2 linked regions of the Arabidopsis thaliana genome follow. The protein of the gene in region 1 interacts with the protein of each later gene in a pairwise test. Each region holds a gene or a part of one and is shown on either strand. Other genes may lie near its edges.

Region 1 (3,922 bases):
ATGACACCGCTGCTTTCAAAAACTTTAAGAAGTAAGTTTTGACTCTTCCACTTTTTTCAACTGTTCCGAAGTCAAGAGCTTTAAGAAGTCATGATAAGTCAAGAGTTTGGGCGGTATGATTAACCTCTTACGTTTTGCAGGTGGGGCGACATTGAATTTCCCATGCCATTTGGAAGAGTGATGAGTTCAACAGAGAGCTTCATCCACGGTCTAGATGAGAAGGTATCATACCAATAAGCGTAGAGTAATTGACGCTTCTGGAAACACCAGTTTCTCTATGACTTATGACCCTTTTGTATATGCAGACAAGTGCCTCTTTGAAGTTCACTGTTCTGAATCCCAAGGGAAGAATTTGGACTATGGTAGCTGGAGGAGGTGCAAGTGTCATCTATGCTGATACCGTATGTTTTTATATGAACACCGAGAATCTCCTGCATTTTTCTGCTTAGAAGCCTTAGCCTCTAAAGTGTTTACTGAAATGTTATCCAGGTTGGAGATCTCGGGTATGCATCTGAGCTTGGCAATTATGCTGAATACAGTGGAGCACCCAAAGAAGACGAGGTTTTGCAGTATGCCAGAGTTGTCATTGATGTAAGATGCTGCTTTAACTTCTGCCAATAAAGCATCTGAAAATAAAGTCACTCCTGACTTGGTCGTGGTGCTGAATGATAATACTGCTTCTTCAGTGTGCTACAGCGAATCCGGATGGAAAAAGCAGGGCTCTGGTAATTGGAGGTGGAATTGCTAACTTCACCGATGTTGCTGCTACCTTCAATGGCATAATCCGAGCTCTCAAGGAAAAAGTAAGCAAGAAGAGAGTAGAATCATCCACAAACACTTCATTGCCCCTTGACTACAAGTATAAATGAACCATGCTTTAACCGTTTACAGGAAGCAAAGCTGAAAGCAGCAAGGATGCATATATTTGTGAGGAGAGGAGGACCAAACTACCAAAAGGGACTTGCTAAAATGAGATCACTTGGAGACGAAATCGGTGTCCCCATCGAGGTATGTAGACACACAATGAATAAACTCAAGACATTCCCGCTTAATCAGTTTCTAACTGTTTTTACATGTCTGTTTGATTTCAAGGTGTATGGTCCTGAAGCAACAATGACAGGTATATGCAAGGAGGCAATCCAGTACATCACAGCGGCTGCATAAGCCTTTACAATCTTATCACTTACTTTCAAAATACTCTTTAGCGTCTCTTGAGTTTGAGACGTGTTTGGATTATGTTTCACTTCTAATGTATCTTACTATTCATAAATAAAGAACAAGTATCTTCTTTTTTCTTACTTGGTATTTTCTCTTTTGATTCTCATCTTCTTCTTGACTTAGATCAGAAGAAAACGTATTTAATCAACTTTTATCTAGCAACTCCAAAAATTCTACTAGGAAATAACGATATGGAATCAGAAGCATTTAAGCCTTTTACACACGATGCAAGCAATTTGCTGAAGTGGATATCGACAGTCATAGACATGTCCATTTTTAGACTTGGCTATTCAAAAATTTGGACCATTTTTCTATTAATCAGGGCCCGTTTTTAGTGATAGCTCTGGATATTTTCATTGAGCTGGGCCTTTTCTGGTCATGGAAAGAGATTGCAATATCTATTTAGCCATCCCAAGTGGGCAAAACATAATCTACGCTTACAAAATTTGTGTAAACGAATTCGTCTACGCTTACATTTTTGTGTAGTAAAGAGAAGTATTATGTTATCCTTTAATCAAAAACTCAAAAAGGGGTAAAATAATTGAAGCCTGAAAAAGCCAACAAGATAGGAGACAGGCCATGAACGTGATCTGCCCATCAAAAAAAACTTTTTTTTTTTCTCGGTAACTTTTTCTAAAAAGCAAAATATTAAAATAAGAGAGAGATGTCCTTGTTCTTATGTTTTTTCTTTTATCATCTATGTGACCCATCTCTTCAATCTAATCACATTTTTGTATATTAAAGTGTTTTCTTGAAACATTTGTCCGAAAGCAGAAAATAAAAAGGATTCAAACTGAAATCATGAAAACATAAACAAAAAAAATGTACTATTCTTTTTACCTCACAGTAATTTTGTTTTATATAAAAAGCTTATAAATTAACAAAACTTATAAAAAAGTGAGAAAAACAGAGAGTCTCTTCTTTTCTTGTTATTCTGTCAGTATCTTTCTGTGTGTGTTTGTGGATTTTTTGGCATTTTCATTTTGGATTTTGCTTGTTTGGTCCCTTTCTTTTCATGATTATTATTTTTAAATTCCTTTTTTATATTGGTGGTGTGAATGATAAGAGTAGGCAGATGAGAGATTAGATGATTTGGTAATAGTGGTGTGGAATTAGAAGCAAACCTTTTTTGAAAAAATTAAGAATGTTATAGAGATTAGTTATTCAATAACAACTACTACCAAAGTCATAAAAATGATATAAAATATAAACCAAGAAGCACTATTAGTATCACTCATCACTCAATAGCTTTTTTTTTTTCAGATCTCTAGGAAAATTTCTCAGACTTTCAGAGCATTTTGGTGCTTTTGTTTTGCTTGGTTTCTCGGGAAAATTCTCTTCACACTTTTAGAGTTTTCTCTCTCTTCTCTATCTCTTGTCACAGCTCGTTTAGCATTCATTCTCTTAATCGTTTCTTCATTCAAAAATTCTCTCTTTCTAAGCTGAGTAACTTGCAAGTCGTCATTTTTCAATTGGGGTCTTCTCCTTTTTACTTCCTTTGAATTGAAATCACAGAGAAAGAGAGGTTCCATTGCTGGAAAATGGATTGCTCAAATTAGTTTCTGTGTCTAAATAAAGACAGAGAAGAAGAAAAGTAGACAAAAGCTAAGTTTTTTTTTCAGATATGGGAGAGAGAAAAATGAGTTGGTGGGTTCTTTGAAACTTGTTTTTGTTCAGACCAAAGTTGATTGCTTTAAGAAGGGATATGGAAGGTGTGAGATTTGTGGTGTGGAGATTAGGATTTCTGGTTTTTGTATGGTTCTTTGATATCTCTTCTGCTACACTTTCTCCTACTGGTGTAAACTATGAAGGTTAGTCTTTTTCTTCTTGGAGAAATCTCAATTTTTTTCTCTATGAATTTATCATCTTTGGTTTTGTCTATTTTGTTTAGTTGTTCCGAAAATTCTGGTGAATGTTTGTGTGGATTAGGTTCTTTTTTGTTTCTTTATTGGATAATAAATATCACAGCTTTAAATGCTCACCAGACTCATATAACCTTAGCCAATAGCAGCTCAAGTTTACTTCATTCTCTGTGAAACTATACTGCATATAAGCTTACTGGGTTTTTCTTGGATAAGATTTCAATTTCGAAAAATGCAGCTTTAGCAATAAGATAATTCATAGGAGTTTTGAGGCTAGATTTGTTCTTTCAATCTGAAGTTTCTTTCTTTTTGTTTGTCTGAAATGAGCAGTGACAGCTTTGGTTGCTGTGAAGAATGAATTGAATGATCCGTACAAAGTTCTTGAGAATTGGGATGTGAATTCAGTTGATCCTTGTAGCTGGAGAATGGTTTCTTGCACTGATGGCTATGTCTCTTCACTGTGAGTCTTCTCTTCTCTTCTCGTATATTAGATTAAAAAAACCAGATAGATCTTTAAGACTTGTCTTGTTTTCTTAATGAAACAGGGATCTTCCTAGCCAAAGCTTGTCTGGTACATTGTCTCCTAGAATCGGAAACCTCACCTATTTACAATCAGTGTAAGATTTTTCTAGTCTTTGCTATATGTGATTCTTGTTCTCTGTTTTGCTTCTTGTTGAGCTTAATGTTTTGTTGTTTAGGGTGTTGCAAAACAATGCAATCACTGGTCCAATTCCGGAAACGATTGGGAGGTTGGAGAAGCTTCAGTCACTTGATCTTTCGAACAATTCATTCACCGGGGAGATACCGGCCTCACTTGGAGAACTCAAGAACTTGAATTACTT
Region 2 (3,922 bases), on another chromosome or scaffold:
TCTATTCAATTTTACATTGTAACCGGAATTCTTGTTTTTCTTATCCAATACAGGATGCTAAAGAGAAATTTCAGCAGTTGCAAAAGGTTATTTCGATTCTCGGTGATGAAGAGAAAAGAGCAGTCTATGATCAAACTGGCTCAGTTGATGATGCTGTAAGTTGAAAGAAAGTTTTCAACTTAAGTAAAGGTACTGGAGGATTTTCTTACAAACTGGTTATTTCCCTATCTCATTAGGATCTTTCGGGAGATGTGGTTGACAACTTGAGGGACTTCTTCAAGGCAATGTACAAGAAGGTAAGAATCATGATTCACAATTGATTTCTTTTTGGACTTTGCAACACAACTGTTTCGTTCTGTATACTGATCATTTGTGCTATAGGTCACCGAGGAAGATATTGAAGAGTTTGAGGCCAACTATAGGGGTTCTGAATCCGAGAAGAATGATTTGATTGAGCTATATAACAAGTTTAAGGGTAAAATGAGCAGGTAATTAATCATCCCCTTGTTTTCATTATTGTCAAGTTTGTGAGTTGAAGTTTGTATAAACATTATTGGTACTATATCTCTTTCAGGCTTTTCTGCTCAATGCTTTGCTCGAACCCCAAGCTTGATTCGCACCGTTTCAAAGATATTATCGATGAGGCCATTGCAGCGGGTAGGCTTCTCTTTCTTGCAATAATTCTTTTGTCTATAAAACCTATCCAGGTTCTGATTTGTTTGTGCATACCATTGTTTAACATCTGCAGGAGAAGTGAAATCAACAAAAGCTTACAAGAAATGGGCAAAGGAGATTGCAGAAATGGAACCTCCCACGAATCCCCAGAAGATGAGACGGAAGTAAGCTTCTATTTGTCTACCTTTTCCACCCCAATAAATGCCCTCTGAAGTTATCTTTGTTGTGACCTGTTTCAAAATTTCTATACTTTCAGAGCAGCAAAGGCTGCAGATAAAGATTTATACGCTGTAATGTCCCAGCGGGGAGATGAGAGGAAAGAGAAGTTCGATTCAATGTTCTCTTCACTTGTCTCTAGGTATGGTAGCAATGCTGACTCTGAGCCAAACGAAGAAGAGTTCGAAGCTGCTCAGAGAAAAGTTGAAAGCCGGAGATCATCGAAGAAGTCTAGAAAAAAATAAAGATTATGTAGTAGTTTGTGAAATTTAGGTTTCGTGTTTGTAATGGAGACCAATGTTTTTAGCGTAAATTAGATCACATTTGTTGCTTCTTAGAAGTTGAAGACTAATGTGTATTTGCTAGGAAACAATGTGTATTTTTACTTTTTGTCTTTTTTCCAACAACAAAAAAAGCAGTGAGTTTACCAGTTCAAAAGCTCAGGGTCCCACGTGTATGTCGTCTGGATCTTCAGAAGAAGAGAAATTCTATCACCGGGTCCTAGGACTTCTCCACCTGCAAAAACAATCAGGTCGAGTAATGCATCATAATCAGTTGATAACTAAACAAGCCTTTGTTACAATGTAACATATAAACGTACGGTATCAACCAAGTTTCTCGGGAAGAGGAGAGTGGACGGATCCTTTGGCTTGTATAGGCCTAAATAAAGAACTAACAAATTTCAAGTGAACTTATTTAAAAGAACCAAATAATTATTCTAAAAGAGAAGAAAAAAATGAAATTATTTACTTATATGGCTTGTATAGGCCTAAATGGCATACAGTTAATAAATTTTGTTAGTTCTTTATTAATTAACACCAAGCATCTTTTTTTTTTGTTGAAAAAGAAAAAGGAATTTAACAAAAAGGATATTCACAAAAAGAAACTAGAGAAGTAATAATAAAAAGGAAAGAAGAATCTAATGTCCAATAGAACCCCAAAGTAAAGTACACCAATTGTTGAGAGAAGAAGAGTTCTTTTTTTTTCAAAGGTATTTAAGGAGAAGAGTCGCAGTCGCAAAAAGACGAATCGTAATTGTTGAAGAGAGCAAATATGGCTTGGGATTTGTTTTTATGGATAGTCTCCTTCTTCGTTAGCTTGGCTCTCGTCGCTTCCGTCTTCTACCAGGTAATCTATCTACTTTGTTTGTCCCCTTTTACTTTCCATTAAGATTCTTAAATCGAGATCTGTCCTTACTGTTCAAATCCTGATTGTCGGAATTGTACTTGTGAAAAAACACCGAGCAACTTAGCTTTTTGTTCGAATTAGCTAAAAAATTAGGAATGGAACAATTTTCCTTTGTGTTCGTCGGTTTTGTACTAAATACAATTGACAATTTTTTGGGTCCAGAGAGGTTTCATTGTTTATCCTTAATCTTATGCTTCTAACTCAAAGTTGTTCTTAGTTCTGATTTGGATTGTCTGCAAGGCTTGTATATGATACTTGGTCAATTGAGACATATAGTTGATTAATTGCGAGTTATATACTGTGAATGAATGAAGTTAGATACTACTACCAATAGTGTTTACTCTCATACTAACTGCCTCTGCTAATGATTGAAGCATTGAGATTCCTTTTTAGTCTATTGATATCGTGTGTGATTTTGTAGGTTATCTGCTTAACGGATTTAGAAGCTGATTACTTGAACCCTTTTGAAACAAGTACCCGTATCAACCGATTAGTAATACCTGAGTTTATCCTCCAAGGGTCACTCTGCCTTCTCTTCCTCCTCACATGGCATTGGGTCTTCTTTCTGGTCGCCGTCCCTGTAACAGTCTATCACGCAATGTTGTAAGTATCTATATCCATCCATATTGCTTATGATTCTTGATTGACATGCGTGGAAACTAAATACGCGCCTCCCATTGTTCTTCAGATACAAAGAGCGACGTTATCTCATCGATGTCACTGAAGTGTTCCGTGGTATCAGCTTTGAAAAGAAGCTCCGGTATACCAAGCTCGGGTTCTACGTCTTTCTCTTCATCATGGTTGTCTTTAGGTAAAAAAAACTACAGCTTTAGCTTTCCTATTAACATCTTCACTTACTTTGGTTCTTCTACTATGAAGTTACTTACCGAGTCCATAAAACATTTTTGCAGGCTCACTCTCTCTGCGGTCTATAGCTTCACGGAAGATGATGATCTACTTCATTTGTTTTGATTTATGCGCTTGCGCTCTGCGTTATCAACCACTCTCTCTTTATTTTCTGAGTGTGTTTTAGAAAATTGTGACAGGTTTTTATTACGTCCCTGCTTAGAATTAGCCATTCAGGGATTCATCATGTAGCTTTATATAACGTATGATTACCGAAAACTCATCACAAATCGTTTGACATGGAGGGTTTCATCAGTTTTGTTTTGCGCAATATAATGTTCAGTCTCATCATTGAAGTCATAAAAATCATGTATCAAGAATGAAGCTACATTGTATTACATAGACTGGCTGTGGAAAAACGCACCGATATCTAGTTTATCGGAGATGCAATTGAACCCGCTGTGGACCTTAAATCCATGTCCATCCAAGAGGAGGAGGAGAAGGTGACCCAAACAGAAACTCTGCAAGAACAAAAACCAAGGCATGTTTCAACAAACCTTTTTATATGAGCCAATTTTTGCGATAGTGACCAAATAGCGACCCAAGAAGGATTACGGCCCAACCCAAGAGAGTTATCCAGCTTGATTACGTCCCAGACCCCCTATGACCCGATCCGGACCGGCTCAGACCATCTCACAAACCGATAATATTTACTACGGGCATTAAACCGGTTAAATAAGGAACTTTCCTTATTTAGATTTTTTAGGGCAAGAGTCTGGGACCACGAGAGACTCTAGTCAATCCAAGCGAAAAGATCATTCAAGATAGATAGACTACAATTTTCATACTTGGCCGTGGCCCGTGGGTGTCCTTAATTAACTCCCAACGACTATGCCACTTAATCCAGCAAATAGGCGCTTATTCACTTACCTTATCAAAACCATAATCCATCCTATGACTTCATTTCTTTTTTCCTCTTGATGCCTCACTTATGAGT

Evidence for each region.
Region 2: the proteins of NIK3 (region 1) and AT3G12180 interact in a protein complementation assay, tested with the Arabidopsis thaliana proteins (one large-scale study listed by BioGRID).

Annotation. Positions count from the first base shown.
Region 1 is NC_003070.9:22,385,933-22,389,854, reverse strand, and holds the start of NIK3 (NSP-interacting kinase 3), read left to right. Parts: upstream 1-2,088; 5' UTR 2,089-2,923; coding exon 2,924-3,029; intron 3,030-3,153; exon of another isoform or gene 3,154-3,410; coding exon 3,411-3,540; intron 3,541-3,625; coding exon 3,626-3,697; intron 3,698-3,778; coding exon 3,779-3,922. Other genes in the region: ACLA-2 (ATP-citrate lyase A-2), read left to right, coding at 1-31, 141-222, 306-401, 490-591, 687-803, 892-1,008, 1,093-1,164.
Region 2 is NC_003074.8:3,881,520-3,885,441, forward strand, and holds AT3G12180 (Cornichon family protein), read left to right. Parts: upstream 1-1,810; 5' UTR 1,811-1,944; coding exon 1,945-2,019; intron 2,020-2,500; coding exon 2,501-2,682; intron 2,683-2,767; coding exon 2,768-2,890; intron 2,891-2,990; coding exon 2,991-3,051; 3' UTR 3,052-3,345; downstream 3,346-3,922. Other genes in the region: AT3G12170 (Chaperone DnaJ-domain superfamily protein), read left to right, coding at 54-155, 237-296, 382-488, 575-657, 749-839, 932-1,136.